Linked DNA regions of Drosophila melanogaster. The protein of the gene in region 2 interacts with the protein of the main gene of each other region in a pairwise test. Each region holds a gene or a part of one and is shown on either strand. Other genes may lie near its edges.

Region 1 (9,593 bases), on a different chromosome or scaffold from region 2:
CAACGTTTTTGTTCACGATTTCTTTATTTTAGATAAACAATACCTTAGAATTACTTGCATTATTATGTTATACCTAACTGAAAGTATTTCATTAATTACATGTGTAATATGCCGTAAATAATCGTGGCAGCATCAACGAAGACTATACGCATTGTAGGGATTATTTTAACAAATAACTTGTATAGGAACAGTTTTTGAATTTTATAACGACCCCCAAAACAACGTTTTAATTCAATTTGGACACACCAAAAAATGTTAGATTATAAAATTTTAAAGTGGAATTATGACAAATCTTGTTTTTGCACCTTGATAATCTCTTTAAGTTTTGATGACGACCATAACAATCAAATAAAATTGTTCGACAGTAAATCCAATTAGTGTTCTTAAGACTGTTGTTAAAGCTATGTAAGTTTTAAATGGTACAAAAGGAAAATGTTACTGTGGCTATTGTTGCTGTTGCTGCGTCTGATGATGTCTCTTCTCTCGAGCTCGTTCGATATGCCGCTTTCGTTCTTCTTTTGTCCAATAACGACCTATTTTTACTTCAGATATTGTATCGTCTTCCGTCGTGGTAACCTCGTTGTAACGCATATTTTTCCGCAATGCAACTTGGGGTCGATTACGTACTGGCCGTTTTACTATGTACCGCGTTCCATCTGGTCGCCTTTTAACCTTCCATACCATGGGTATTTCCTCAGCACTTTCACCGTTAAGCAAAGTAGCATTTTTTTGTAAGCTTGTTGAAATATGACATCTGTTTGCAACCTTTACAAAAGTAATCAAAACTTTTATTTATAGAATATGGGCAAAAAAATATATTCAATGGAATATGAGAGAGATGGAATATGAGATACATGTATATACTAATAGATTTAATAGATTTGCAAGCCTACTTATATGGTATATTTGCCCTTTGAATTTTATTGAAAATGTACAATGTTTTTAGAATTGTTCTTTTTTTGATGCATAATTTTTCACTAAAAATCGATTTAAAACCTCCTTTCATGTGATCTCTTATTGGAATGATCTTAGAAAAAAGTTGAATAAAGTAGTAAATAGTGGTAAAAATATGTATTTTCCTGACCTGTTGATCCTTACATGTTTTAAATTTTAAACCCATAGAAAACGTTCAGTAAATGCACTTATAAGAAAATTATTAAAATATTTTCAATGGATGATACTTAATTCATTAAGATGTGTAACATTCAAATGAAATCTTAGATTTAACCGTCAACTGTTAAAATCATTGTCATCCATTCGTTTTAATCCCCTACTAATACCATTTTACCCCATATGCACATACATTAAACTTGTACTTACCTCTTGACTACTAACAAAGTGGTAACTACTCAAATTTGGGGCGTTAAACTGTGGACAATGACTATAGGAATCATCAGTTGGTTTAACTCTTAGTATTTCAATGTCGCTTTTAAGTGGATGAATTTCATTTTCAGACCCAACGTTGGTATACCGCTCTGAAGTGGAATAATGTTAATGGTAATTAAATGAAGTTCACGATATATCGTTTTCAGTTTGTAAATCTTATAATAAGACGTTCAGTTAAATGTTACACAAATTTGAAAATGTTAATTGCTTCAGAATTTTTTTTATCAAGGCAAAAATGATAAATCGTTTTATACCCGTGGAGAAAAGTATCTAACAGGTAGAAGAAAGCGTTTCAACCATATAAAGTATATACATATATTCTTGATCAGTGTCAATAGGCGAGTCGTTCTGGACATGAACGTCTATGCACGCCCACACTTTTGAAAAATTTTAAAATTTTTTCTTATTGTATTCCCCCATATTTATTGATATCCCAGACAAATTATGAAATTTCGCGTTCGCATTTACACTAGCTGAGTAACGGGTATCTGATAGTCGGGGAACTTGACTATAGCATTCTCTAAAATGGCGTTAAAATGGGCGGGTCCAAATTTTTTGACATATCGATAGAGAGAATCACTGCATGCTGTCCCAACTTTATAACTTTTATAGCTTCCGAGATCTCGACGTTTTTAAGGACACAGGGGCATGGCCAGACAGACTCGTCTAGTAATCAATAATATATATTTACGTCTTATTGTTTGAACGTTGGTACTGGTTCACTTTCAGAATCTTATGGAATGGCCTCATAGGTGTGCGCGCAATCACATTGCAGATTTACTTATTTTTGGCTTAAAGATTGATTGAAGCTTTTTCTATAATCCAAGTTTGCATTCGGTCGAAGCTTTATTTTACTACACGACTTGTTAGATTGCTCAATGATATTTTTCGCCAATAAAGATATTTTAACATTTTAGTCAGATGAGTTTTTTTGGTGGTATATGATAGCATTTGTCAGATTGAATAGCGGACGTAAGTTAAGAAAATCTTATCAAGTTCATCCACTACATTTGTATAGTCATCTGGCAAAAATGTATTAGCATACTCAAAATGTATATCTTCGACATCATCGTCGTCCTATAAAAATTTGTTAAACCATTTACACCTTTGAATTTTATACTTTGATTAATAAAAATGGTTTCTATCGATTCTCAATGGTTAACACAACTGTAGGCACTTATTTTCGATAGATAAATAATATTTTGTCTACAATTCCTCAACCTACACTGCGTCTCTTTTTGTTGAATCCAATCGGAAAAATATTTATCATTAACATATTGACTTTTCCAGTTAAAATATAAGCCTTTAGTTTCAACTTTCTAGCTTTTATATCTACCGACATCTCGACATCCGTAAGGACAGAGGGACATGACCAGATAGACTCGTCTAGTAATCAAGAATTTATACTTTACAGGGTTTGAAATTTTCTTCAACCGTTTACTAGCTTTTTAACGAGCCTAGTACCATTTAATTCAAAGTTTAAAAAGTAAAAGGTGAAGAGCTTTTAAAGTGGAGCACGTCTGATATGTCAGACGCTACGTACTATCTGCAACTAAAATATAATTGTTATGCATACCGCTGACATACGCTGTAGGCAGATTGGAAGAGCAGAGACCAATACGGCCAGACTTGCCGAATGGTAATAGCAACATAGTGCTTACACCTGTGGCATCCAAATGATCATTGGGGCTATCAATAACAGTACTATCTAGCTTGCGACCAGTGGCGATGGCTTCATCAGGATTTGTAGTATTTTGATGGGGGGAGGCGCTATTATTAGAATCACCAGTGTTGTAGGCACTTGAGGAGTTATCGACCTCTTCGCCAGGAGCCGCGGCGTTCCCTGTAACAACATTATTTTGTCCATAAGAGCTGTATGCCACTCCACTACTGCTGGATGCGCTTGTGTTGGTTAAGGTGCTACGCAATGTAAAAACACGACTACAAGTAGGTTGCTGTACTAATTTCAACGGCGGGGGTCGACCAACTAGAGTTTGTCTAGTTTTCTGGTATTGTGGCTTCAAGCCCAACCACTGGGCGACTCTTTGAGTTTGTTGTTGCATTGTTCTTTCTAATGATTCGGCCGGTCTCGATGCTATTGGAGATGAACAACCTATTGACGTCTTGTCGTTTGAACGTTGGTACGGTGAACAATACACTGGTTCACTTTCAGAATCTTCTGGAATGGTTTCGTAAATGTGCTCGCTTTCATCGTACTCATATTGCAGATGAACTTCTTCTTGGCTTAAAGGTAGATTGAATTTTTTTTTATAATCCAAGTTTGCATTCGGTCGAAGCTTTATTTTACTACAGGACTTGGTAGATTGCTCAATGATATTTTTCGCCAAAGAAGATATTTTAACGTTTGAATCAGATGAGTTCTTTTCTGGTATGTGATAGCATTCGTCAGATTGCATGGCGGATTTATTGGATAGTTCTTCCAAAGACTTGACGTGAGTTAACAAAACCTTATCCAATTTATCCACTACATTTGTATAGTCATCTGGCAGAAATGTATTAGCATACTCAAAATGTATATCTTCGTCATCATCGTCTTCCTATAAAAAATTTGTTCCAAAATATTGCAGCTAGTTAAAATATTTACAGTTTTAAACTTTATACTTTGATTAATAAAAATGGTTTTATCGGTTATCAATGGGTCACACAACTGTAGGCACTTATTTTGGATAAATAAATAATATTTTTCTACAAATTCTCAACTCCCACTGCGGTCTGTTTTAAGAATACAATCACAAAAATATTTACCATTAACATTATTGACTTTTCAAATATTATACATATCGCTATGGACTTTATAGTCCCAACACCCATCTCATCTATATGGAATGTGGGTATTAATAGTATTACTAACCTGGTTAAGCACATATTTTATAAAACGAGTTTGAGGATTCATGGAAAATCGTTAGTAAGCGTATGCGAATTTGACCGTAAGGTAAATATATATATAAAGATATACTCCAAACAAAACCATGATTTTAAGTTACGAGATTGAAGGCGGTTACTCTGAGGCAACAAGTCGAAATCGGATCTAAATTAAAAACCAGAACGAACAATATTTTTTTTAATTTAATGGTGCGCATTTTTTAGCGTATTAAATTCTACAGTGGTATAACCCCTTACTATAGTTATGAACTAAGTGTTTATTTGGGAATTTTTTTTTGGTATTAGAAATTTCGACTTACAGGGTATAGAATTCGACTAACTAGTAGCGTTACTGATGTACTACTCCTGGCTATCTGAGTTTCTAACTCCTCCTGGTTTTTAACATCCAAGCCGTTAATACGAAGAATCTGATCCCCCTGTCGCAGGCGCCCATCACGATAGGCTATACTTTCCGGTTGTACACCACTGATGAACACATCCTCACTATGTTCTAAAACGTTACCTAGTATGTCACCTTTATTCGTGTCGGTACTTGATTGCTGAATTCCGGAGGAGGTAACAATGAGCCCGATTTGATTGCTGCTTGACTGTTCAACACCTTTAACAAGCGTTACTTCCTGTTGATTATAAAAAAATACTATTATTTTGAATCCCAACACACATATCTAAGCAACTGACAGTTTTAGGATCTGTTATAAATACATCGGTTTCAATAATATTTATGTAGACGGCGAGAGTAAATAAACCACTGGCGTACAAAAGGCAATCACCTTATACCTTCCAAAAATTTTTATTTATTTTATTTGATATTTTTTGCTTTCTCGAAATTTGTTTAAATATCATTGTGTGCAAATACTTAGCAAGTGACAGTGTACACACAACTCCAAAAAATTTTAATAATAAACTTTGTGAATATTAATAATAACTGTTATGCCCGTCCGACCGCTCGATCATTCAAAGTCTACAGATGGCTTGTGTTGGTATATAGTCTCTCCTCAACGAATATAACAAAACTGCAACATACATATGTATGTACATATGGAGAATATGAGCATTTAAAATTTCTGCACTTCGCAAGGGCAAGGGTTGAATGTGGGCCCGCAGCCCAAGCAAACGCTACACAAATGCTCATACAAACGCAATTTGTATTTGCATTAAATAAGCATAGAATGGGTCTTAAGTGTATAGAGAAGTCGCCATCGCACATCGCGAAGACAGACCAGAACAGTTTTGTGGTACTGCTGTAGTAATGTATGGTAAATACCTCAATGTCGATTTCCGGTTCCAGGCATTGTTCGAACAAATGGTGTTCATGCTCTATGAAGTTGTCGGTAATTGTGTTAACCAAATCGTTATCCTTTAAAACGTCCGTACCAACGACAGATTGGGTTTGAGTTTCCTTCGATGCGGCTTGTAGACTTCCCAAACGATCCTCATGACTTCTAGCCCGAAGAGTTAAAACCACAGGAGTTTTCGTCTCGATTTCTTTCAACGATGTTGAAGATGGGCAATTTATTTGTTGAGAGGCACTGGCAGCTGTGATCGTCCCTTCTGCTGACTTGTCAGTTAGGACAGAAAGTTCTCCGGGATTGTCCACTTTTGATATTTTGGCATTGGAGCCATGTTTTAATTCTAAATCTAATGCATTGTGTTTCTGTCTGCGTATTTCTACGACAAGGGTTTCTTTAGATTGAAGGAACTTTTGAACCGCTTCATACCTCGACAAATGACTAATATCGTAACCGTTTATCTGAAACAGAATATGTGCATTTTGAAACGCTAAAAAACAGATTTCACACGAATGGAACTATTTATGGTAAAACGAGAACTCGGTTCTTAGTCCTACTTTATATTGAACTTACTTTTAACACAACATATTCGTACTCCACGTCGGCAATACTCATAGTGATGCTTAAAATCCAAAACTCATATTTATTTTCATTTAATTGTATACATATTTTTTCGAAAGTGTGGCCAAACCTTTTGTTTTCATTTATATCATTTACGTATTCTTTTTGATAAAAATTGTAATCGATTCTCTTAAGTAATCGTTTAATAACTCGCAACGGAATGGAAACCGTTAACGGATTGAGAAATCATAGCAATTAAAATTATCCGCTCGTATAAACGCATATTTTCAGACTGTACCAATTTTCAATTCATATTGTTGAATATAAAGTTGAAGTTGATGTAATGAAATTGATAATATAATATAATATTTCAATGGCTTAGGCATTGATAACCACGAAAAGCGGAGGTGCCCCTTGACTAAAAAGAGTTGCTATAGAATGGTTTTTGTAACCACTATTGTTTGATACGCACCTGTCATTGAAGTTCTTGTCGTTTCGTATCAATTTTGTGCTATGTAAATGAAATGGAAATGGCCTTAGTGACTTAACTGTGTGAACACAATATAATAATTTATTTCCGATACTTTTATCTTGATCTATCGATGGATGCGTATTTCTTAAAGCATACACATATACAATTATATAGAGCTTAAATAGCCGGATCAATTCGTATTTAAGGTTGTATGATGGTTAAAACGGGAAATCGCAGTAATTTTTATTATTTAAATAGTAAATTTAAACTTCAGTAAAAATATCCTAAATAATGTGAAGTGTCAAGAGCCAGGTGGACATAGCCATATCCGTACGCCCGTTTCTCACTAAATCTTTCTAAAAGCCTTTCTGTTGCCGATACTATGCATACTACATGTATGGCAGAAAGACCTCGACAAAGGGGAACATACATACATATCTTCTTTTTTGTTAGAAAGTGTTTTATCTCGGTATTGAACAGTTTTCGACCATATGCCTTGGAAAAGTCAAATTTTTTCTGTTCGTGATCATAAATAGATATTATTCAGTATAAGCATATAAAAATCGGCTTGCCGATTTTTGTTTATTTCCTATATTATACCCATTACTTGTAAAGTAAAATCGTATATGTATTAGATTCGCTGCAATGTATGTAATTGGTAGAAGAAACCGTCTCCGATCATAGAAAGTATATGTATGTAATAGGAACGCATCGATCCCATTTTATACTCACATGTTTCCAAATGTTTACACGCTTGTTCTAACGACCACGAACCGCCCAAAAACTGCCAAAAACAATTTTAACCAAATACCTACAAATCGTTCAAAACTGTAACGCCCATATCAATTTAAACACACATAAACCCTATGTAGTATATACATACATATGTATGTGTCTAGATTAGAAAGAAACACCCATCCGAGTTGATACTTCCGTCTGCCCCTATGAATGTTGTAATGTCGGGAAGCACTCCTCTGGCTACCAAAAATTAGTAATGTAAATAAAGGAGAGGTGGGCTAATTTGATTCTAAGGTTATATATTTCTTTTTTATTGCATTTGTTTTCGGTTTGGACATCATATAGTGTCCAAATCCCGAAGTTCATTAACTAGTCTCGGAAACCTTTTTGTTCACCTGTTATGTTCTTTTTTAATTTTTAATAACCCCCTTACTTTACGAGTGAAGAGTATAAAAGAATTATAAATACTTTTTCAAGAATTCAGGTTAATATAATTATTCGATTTTATGATAGAATCTAACGTTCCGCTAACCATTTAATACAGCAAACCATATTTATTTTCAGATCAAAAATGACAACACACGATGAGGCTCAGTCATACTTCTCACGTCTTAATTCAATTTCCGAAAAAATTACCTGCGATCTCAATAAAGTTAAATCTACATACAACCAAGACGCTTGGCTTAAATTGACTTTAAACGAACAGGAAAAAATATTGAATAACCAATTAATAGATCCTGTTATATTTTCTAAGTACTGTCATAAGACTAAAGAAAACTATGCGGCACAGGATCCGTACGAAAATACTGAAGTTAGTAAAAATGATTACCGTAAATTTTGTTTCAGAGACATTGTATATTTATATAACGGCCAAGATTTACACACATATAATTATCAAAACGTTGGTTTAAAAATATTACGCGATGAAAACACCGGAGATTTTCAAGATGAACATTCGTTTCCATTTTCTTATCGAACCAAATCACAAATTAACATAGTATTAAAAGAATTTGATGATATCTGTCTTGTTGAAACTCCATTAGGCGTAAAAAAGGCCATTCATTTAAAATTGAAGACAAAAGATTCAACCAATAAAAAAATACCAATTCTCCACCTTAATTCTAATGATAAAACCGGCGTTAACACAACGGAAAGAAAGATTTCCATTCATGAAAACTTCTCAAAAACCCAAACTGTTTATATTGATGAATGTATTGAATCTAATGAGAAAATGCAACTGCTCGTTAAATGTGGATCGAAAAACAGTGTGTTAAACGACTTGTCTGATTATGAAAACGAATTTAAAGATGCACGTCAAGACGAAAATACAAAACTGTTATCCCCTGAACTAAAAATGCCTAAGGGTTTCGATTTTCTTAGCAATTGGTAAAACCTATTTAAATCTCATAGATAGTCGAAGGAGAGCCGATATTTTAGAACATAATTTCATTTGATTTCAAGGCAAAACACCAAAACATACACATTAATATTAATCGGTCGTAAGTCCAAACTTTATACATTACATTATTAAGGATTCTTTTTTAACATAGACTTAATAAAATAAGTTATGAATTTAATGGATTGCCCAAACCTGTTTCAATTCTCACTTCAATAAGGCATTCAAGCTTTAAAATTTATTAATGCATATGTTATCTCACTGTATTGTTTTAATCCCTTAAATTTCATTTGAATTGTTAGAAATGGTCGAGAGTTATATGAGTTGGAACTTGTTTGAAACAGCTCTGTTTTGAATTAATTTAAATTATATCAGCTAATTTATTTTAATCAATTAATCCTTCTGTTGTGTACCCTCTATCTGACCTCTTCGATGTGAACGGGTCACAGCACTTATTTTAGGCAGTTGTGTAAACTGGGTATTACCTAAGATTGATTAATATCGATTAGTTTAAGAAAATATCGGACATCTACCTAGAAGAGTCTGTCGTGATCCAGGCGAAGTGCGAGTGAGAGCATCGTATAGTTACTTTTTATTTAAATTGCGTGTGTTAAAATGAATTAGCACGAGTAGTGAATGTTTTTGTGTGCGTAATCTTTCGAAAACAAGCGCTTTGTCATTAAAACGAAAAGATTGCCAACAGCCCACCACGGATAGAATGTACGGAGTAATGCAGCTAAATTGAAGTAGAATAATTTTAATGTATGGTTGAAGACGTACTCAGTACGATTAAAAGCGAAACTTTCTGACATAACCTAAGTGTGCATAACCTAAATGGTCGCAAAAA
Region 2 (7,687 bases):
AGGGGGCGGAATGGGAGGGGCAAGTGGGCGTGGCGGGGCAACCACTTGACTCCCAAAACTTGGGAGCCGCGTTCTTCGTTGTTGTCAGAATCCAAATCATTTTTCGCAATAAATAAATAGTAATTTAAGGTTAGGAGGAATCAAAATTATCATAAAGCTTAGAATGCACAGATATCGAAGATATATTCAAAAACAAAGTATTTAACAATATTTTCACAAATTTTGTAAAATTTGTAATTTTTTTTTTTTTTTTCAGCCACTATTCTCTTGACCGCAGCTGTACACCCCGGCCCCCAAAAATATCGCCTGCCAAAAGTTTATGGCGCGTCGCGAAGTTCGTCGCGCTTTTCTTGCCTTTCATGATTTTCTTGCTTTTATTGTTGATTTTGTTGTGGCCATCGACCTGCCACCCCCACTGCCGCCCCATTTAGGTGGGCGGTGCTGTTTCTGCAGTGTGGGCGTGGCAGTTAGCTGCGGCTTATCACGGCCTGTCCAACATTTTCTTACCGCTACTTGTTTGTTTTCGGTCGAGTAGTCGTTTTTTTTTTGCAATCCCCTCACCAAAAGTCCGAATATTTTGGTACCTGGCCAGATTTAAAATATTTATTTTTCCTTTAAAACCGACATCTAAAGTAATATCTAAAGTAATAGTGACTGTGGCTTGGATTTGAACAATTATTCGTTAAATGGGGTTCATTTGATTTCAGAAAGAGTATTCAAGAACATTGTTTTAAAACTGTTGTGCTCCTGCTTGTTTTTCGTTGCTACTGCGATTTTTTGATAACTGACATTTGTTGGCAAAGGTGGAAGGAAGGAGGTGGGTTAAGTGGAGATGAGGACAGGACGCCAAGTGAAGCTAGAGGGGATGCAAAAAGGAAGCAGAGGAACCTGAGCAGTTACAGAAGCCAAAGGTAAAGGTAATGTTAAGGCAAAGCCAAAGGTAACGAGCGCGGCTGAATGAGATGACAGATTAGGGATCACAATGTGCTGTGGGTGGATCCCCAGCTTGGCTCTTATCCTCTATTCCTTATACCCAAGACATTCTCCTTTTCCTTGTGTTCTTTTGGGGTCTTGAATGTAAATAACTTGTTGCTTGCCAAAAAGTGTATTATAAATATCTTATTCCTCGAGAGTAGTTATGTAAGTGTTTTTGCTTCAATATCCTTTTTATTCCATTCCTATTATGTCCTCATCCCTTTTGCTCTTACTAAATTTGGGGCAAAGCAGTTTTCAAGGCCGTCAAAGATCAACTGATTTCGATAACTTTTCGATAGCGCAGAACAAGTGAAAAGTGACACGCACACGCAAAAACAAAAAGCAAGCACTTCACAGCTTAACACCCTAATGTGCAATATTTTTGACTACCCCACATCCACGCACACAGCAAACGGCGCTCTTTAACCCACCACAGCCCCCTTATTTTGTGTCGAACATCTTCTTCTTCCTATCGAAGTGTGAGTGAGAGGGAAGACCGTAAGGAGTGAATGAGAGCGGGAGCCTCCTCCCCGACCTTTATAATGCGTTCTCTTTTACTCTCACTTATTTTATGCATTTTTTTTATTTTATCCAGTTTTGTCTTTTCTTGTTGTTTGTTTAGATCTTTGGCATTTTTGCAATTTGAATCCTATATTATTTCTTATGGTTTTTATTGGTTTTTGTATTGGTTTATTTTTACGATAAGTGTCTTGCTATAGATTTATCTAAATCGAAAGCTTATTAAAATTGCATTTGTTAAAGAAAAAGAAAAAGATATAATATTTTGCACAATTTTAAATGTTTTTTTCTACTAATTTTTTGTTACTTGCAATTTATCTAACACTTTTTCTTTGCTTTTTTTTCTTCGCCTCCGTTTTTTTTTCTTGCTGTCTCCAGTGCGTTAAAACGCCAAAGGGGCGTCCCTCTCCAGCTAACGCCCCCACCACCCCCCGCCACTAGTGCTCTCCCTTTCGCACTGCTAACGACAAGTGACAAACACAAGTTGCAGAAGAGGCAGCCGAACAAAAACAACAACTAAAAATAAAAAAGAAGGAAAGAAAAAAGTTTTTGCGACCAACAGTTGACAGTCGAAAAGCATTTGACATTTTACCTTGGCACGCACACAAGCACCGCCAAGTGCGAAAGGGACAAAACGCGGGCAAATGTCACTTTGAAAAATGCCATTGGCCCGGCCAGCGAGTGTGAGCGAGAGGGCGCGACGGCCGGAGAGCGTGAGAGCGAGAGAGCGCCATTTTGCGCATCTCTCAATGAAGCAACAATAAAAAAACCAGTTGCTTAGCAACGCCCCCTCTAACCGCAAAAAAGAGAGCTGGAGAGCAGGAGAGCCAGTGTTGCAACAACAATGGGCAAAATGGAAGGGCAACAACAGCAACAAAAACCAAAAATATCCTTACAGGAACAACGCCAGCACCAATCTTGAGAAAAGGATCAAAAGCCCAAGATCAACAGAAGAATGTGTGTAGAATTTAAAAAAAAAGTGAATTTTTGGATTTTTAAAATCTTATGAATCTAACAAGCATCTAGTAAGGCTAACTAAATATTTAGTTATCATGCTAAATATATCAAAATTTTCAAAGAACTTATATTGTGTATTATCGAACAATCACCTAAATTAAATCCTAAAAAAGGAAAAAAAATTAAGATTTCTTGATATTTTTTTCCAATTGTTATGAAATTGTATATCCTTTTCCAAAATATTTTTAATAATAATCTAGATATGCATACCAAATATTCTAGTCATATTTTTTCCATTTTTTTAGAAAACGTTTTGAAAAACAATTTTTTTATTTAAGAATAATATGATTTCTTCATGCCCAACACGAGAGAGCCAGGAGAAGCGACGGAAGCGAGAGCGAGAGAGCCTGCGACTCCATTGCAGCGCCGCCAGCAGCGCAGTCGGCGTCGCAGCAGCCCCAGCTCAACATTCGCTGCATCTCGCTCTGGCGCAGGCGAAATATGCGAGCACTGCTTGCCGCATTCGGTAGCACGAGTGCGAGCGATGCGCCTGCTAGCATCTCGCTCGCACCCAGGCGCGCCATTCGTCGCCGCTTCGGCTCGCCGTTCGTGTGTGTGCGTGTGCGCTCGGCTGGCAGCTATCGGTAATCGGGCCGTCCGCTTTGCCGTCGCGTTTGCCGTTTTCCGTTTTCAGTTTTTGTTTGACGTTCGCGTGAAGCGCCCGCAAAACGCAAAGCGCACGAGGCAACGCTCGAAAAAGGAGCCAACGCAGCCGTTTACCGTTAGTCAGCTGTTTACCGTTCCGCCGCGAGATCGAAAACCGAGAATTTTTGCCGTTGTTCAAATTTTTTTGCAAGTGAGAATCTTGAACAACAAGAAGAATATACAACACATAAATACAACAAAACCAAGGAATCGCCGAAAAGCCGATAGTGCAAAGTGTTTAAAAAGAAAAGAATCAATTTCATATACAACAACTAAAGAAATACTGGAATATAAGGCATAATAGAAGCGGAGGAAGTTTCTTCAACTCAAAGAGGAGCGGAATTTCGCGCTTTGTTTTTGTTTTGCCAAATTTGCCGCCGGCACACACGTGCTATCCCCCTCTTGCTCGCACCTTGCCACCCAGTCTTTATGTGCGTTAACCGTTAAGTGTGCAGTTGGGGCCCGCTCCTATCTTTCTCTCCCTCTCTCTCTCGCTTCCGCACCCGCACACACACACATATATCCACACCCACGCGCGCCTCGTTCACATACGCACACACACGCGGGACTTAACCCATTGACGGCCCCCCCAAAAAAGCAGTCACTCTTAACCCCCCCGAAAAAAAGAAAAACTCCATCCCCCCGGCATCAAGATATTCGACAACAAAATTCTCACCGAGGCCTCAAAAGCGCCCCTGAGGGCCGTCGCACTGGCGTCATATCTGGGCGACGGGTTCGCCGCCCTCGGTAGCCGCGCCCCCCCGCCCAAGGACCATCTGATGGCGTTCGGGGCGGTACTACACACCAGCCAGCACAATATCGGTAAGTGATCGTTTTGGGGAATTTAGGCATTAAGCGGTTAAGGGTCCAGGAAAACATAGAAAATCTGGGGGGTTTGCAGTGAGAATCCCAAACAGGCAAGTTCTTAAGGTTAGTCACATATAGGATACTGCAATCGAAATCATTTCATCCAAGAATCAGCACTAAATCTTTGAGTTGTGCTTGTAGTTCTATAGAATAATATCATTGGGAAGTCAAGGATGAAACATTTTACAGATCGAAAATAGAAGTTGTTTACATCTAATCTAGATTAAGTAATATTCATGATGTCCTCTATCGAAATAGAATGAAAACACCTGTTTGTAGGCTTCGTATAATATTTAAATTGTTTATAAAATCTGTAGACGAGTGATCAATGACACCAATGACACATTTCAAAAATACTTTTAAAAGATGGCAAAGAAGTGAATTTTCGAAAAATGTACTGACAAAAAAGTGGAATCTATTAAAAATGGCTTGATCGCTATGCCGACGGGATGTGGTCTTAGATTTTCAACTGGTGGTAGAAAGACATAAGAAAAGTAGGGTCGAGTGCGGTCGAAAGTCCTTAAAAGGAAGTCAACCCCTTGAAGGATCGGCGAAATGCGATCCCTAGGATGGTGGGTTAATACAATACCGCTTGCCCGCAATGGGTTAAGATGGCCAAGGAGTTTTTAATGGCGACGGCTGGGCAGCAGCAAAGTTTTTGCACTTTTGAACTTGCTTCCCGTTTTTAGGGGACCGCCGGCGAGGAGGAGAGGGGCGTCTAATGCCCCGTCGTCCATCTGCCGTCTCTTTTTCGCATTACCATTTTGTATGCTTTTGAAGTTCTTGTTCATCTGTTTTTGTTTCGGTTTTGTTTTTCCTCCTCTTGTTTTCCCGTTCGTTTTTGGACTGAAAAACTTTTGCGCAGTTGTCAAAGTTTTTCAGCTTCTTCTTCTGCCGTTCTTCCTCTACCCCATCTCATTTTTTTTGGCTTTTGTTTTATTTCATTTGCTCTCTGTCAAATTTTCACTTTTGCTGACTGTTTAATGTCAGGAACAAAAAAAAAAAAAAAAAAAAAAAATAGTAAAAAGGGAGCAAAAAGTTCAGAAATGAAGGCTCCCCTCTAGTTTTGTATTTTGTGATTAGTTGGTGAGGAATATTTCGTTTATATGTATGTATGTAGCTCCCCATCAATTTGAATAACTATAAAAAACATTTATAAACTACAAAATTAAGGATCTGCAGAGATTTAGAGACCGAACACTCTTTTCGAGTATATTTTGGATTCTTATCAAAAGAAATGAAATGAGAAATGATTTAAGTACATATTAGTAAAAATGTAGTAAGGTATTTTATACCACAAAAAATTTTTCAAAAATATTCTAAAATCCTCAATAGCTTCGTTTTCGAACCAGTGAGGTTCGATGGAAATTGCAACTGCAAATTCTCCATTTAACTTGTTGACATTGGACATACAGCGGCCGACACCTTACTTCCCCCATAAATTGGCTAGAGAACTGTTGGGGTTTTTGGGCTTGGGGCCTGCAGCTCCGGGGGCGGTTCAAGTCAAAAGCTGTCGACATTTGACTGGAAAATGGATGTTCAGGAAGCCGTAGACCCGCACAGTGGGCCACCTTACGACGGCGGACTGATGCCAAGTGGAGTCGTAAAGCTGCCAAGCTTTCTTCTTCCTGCTTCTACTGTTTCTCGGTTGGATTTTTTTGTTTTTGTTTTATTTCTCGCTCATAGACATACCCATTAGCTAATGACTAAGTGTTGGCAGTTATGAACTTAACTTGCATTTAGTTGGGGAAAACTACAAAGTAAAGTACCACTGAATATAACTCGGCTTAATGAAGATAACTTTTCCGCGCAGTAGCTGTATCTTTTTTCGAAAGTTCGTAAAGTAATTTGGAATCAGGAAAGATATCCAATTTTTTATGGTATAGTTAAGGTTTTGAAATGAGATGGAAAAAATGTATTGGAAATACTTAAGATAGGATACCAATTTAGGTCGTTGAATCTTTGGTAATGTGTTTATTCTTAAGGAATTTAGTTTTCAAAACTTCAATAGAATAGGGTAACCCCTCGTCGTTCAATTACCAATATCATCGGCCATTTCTCTGGTCGACTGCTCATTTTTCTTCGCATATATCTTGGTGGCAGCATCTTTTCAATTTTTATGTTGCTGCTAGCGAACACGGCAGCAACATGCAGCAACAGCAACGTGCAGCAACAGCAACGTGCAACAGCAGCAACGTGCAACAGCAGCAGCAGCAGCAACAAAAGCTCAGACCGGCAACGCCTTCGACAAAAGTTTGCGCTGCTGTTCATCAACATTTATGACTGGCCACAAAGGAAGATCATTACGATCCCGAAGATTACGATTATGGGGTGTAGTAGGCTCATGCATACATATGTATATACTCGAATGTATGCAGGCAGGATGGGATCGTGGGGTCTGTGGCTCCTCTGTTTCTGTGCAACATTATTTCCGTGGAAGCTTTTGTCCAAGGAAATGTGATTTTTCTAGCCGTTTTTAGACCTGCGCTGTTGGACATTTACGACGACAGCAACGTGGACTCAACTGCAGCTTCAACTTGTCCATCAACGGCTCTATGGATCCTTTCGTTGATTTATGGGGCAAGAAGCAAGAAGCGTAGACACGGCAGCCGTGCTTATGCAGCTGCCGCATTTAGCAACTTCAAACTGCAAGTCGACAGTGAGGGGTTAAGGTCTAGTTCCAGGGCGTGGCACGGCCCATAAATTGCCATGCATAATGAGGCGTTGAGACCCTCTCTTCTTGTCAATATATTGTGCGATTTTCACTGCCTTCTCCGGTGGTCGGTCGCCAAACTATCGCTGGCTGGAACAAAGAAACACACACACACACACACACAAAATTGGTAATTGGAAACCCGTTTCTCGATCAACGCCACTTTCAAATTAAAAGTCATTACAATAAAGTCGCTCGATCCAAGACGCAGATTGGCGGAAGTCAGCCGAAGAGTCTAATAAAACAAAATCGAGGCGGTTTTAGAACTTTGTAGAACAGCAAACTAAATTATACATCTTTTCTTAGCGTGCCTTCAGTTTTTATATGAAGAAATCCATTATTACAAATCTAAAATACTTTTATGTTTTTAATTTGTTTACGTAGTTTAGGCTTAAACTGATAACCTGCCATTGTTGAGAAATTGCAATGCCTTTATTTGAATATGGACAATATGAAATCCTTTACCATAGTCCATTTGATCGCCCCCTCTCGCTCTTGTCACCGCTCTCCATCTCTGTCTGACGCCTGTCGCCGTCTCTGTCTCCGTGTCTGTTCCTGTCCTCTGTCCCTGTCTTCTGTCCCGTGCTATGAGAGTTATGAGGGGCCCCCCAACTGTTGGGAACTTTTCAATTTCTGCAATCCGGGGCTTGGCCCAAACCAAAGCGAACCGAAACCGAGCCACAAACTGAAACTGAAACTTGGCCGATGGTATAAGGCAACGTCGTCGCCTGTGTCCCCTTTTGCAGCTCTGCCCCCTTGCAGCGCCACCCCTGCAAAGAGAAGTCCCCCCGCCACCCCACGGACCGACCCTTTTTTCCCCGACTGGGAGCGCTTTTGGGTCGAAAACTGAAATAGTAATTCACATTCATGGACTTCGGTGTCTGGGCCATGGTTTTCTGGGCTTTCTGGTTCTGCCTTGGACTCGCTTCACTGTATTTTCGCGTTTTGTTT

Evidence for each region. The genes of interacting proteins can lie anywhere in the genome.
Region 1: the proteins of Lim1 (region 2) and Slip1 interact in a two-hybrid assay, tested with the Drosophila melanogaster proteins (one large-scale study listed by BioGRID).

What each region holds. Positions count from the first base shown.
Region 1 is NC_004353.4:660,302-669,894, reverse strand, and holds Slip1 (SLo interacting protein 1), read right to left. Parts: upstream 6,275-9,593; 5' UTR 6,195-6,274; coding exon 6,153-6,194; intron 6,041-6,152; coding exon 5,555-6,040; intron 4,908-5,554; coding exon 4,590-4,907; intron 3,945-4,589; coding exon 2,963-3,944; intron 1,476-2,962; coding exon 1,321-1,475; intron 766-1,320; coding exon 445-765; 3' UTR 11-444; downstream 1-10. Other genes in the region: CG46466 (uncharacterized protein), read left to right, coding at 7,922-8,740. UniProt on the Drosophila melanogaster protein: May selectively reduce calcium-activated potassium channel (Slo) currents by reducing the number of Slo channels in the plasma membrane.
Region 2 is NC_004354.4:8,801,255-8,808,941, reverse strand, and holds the start of Lim1 (LIM homeobox 1), read left to right. Parts: upstream 1-3,137; 5' UTR 3,138-3,935; coding exon 3,936-3,978; intron 3,979-7,687.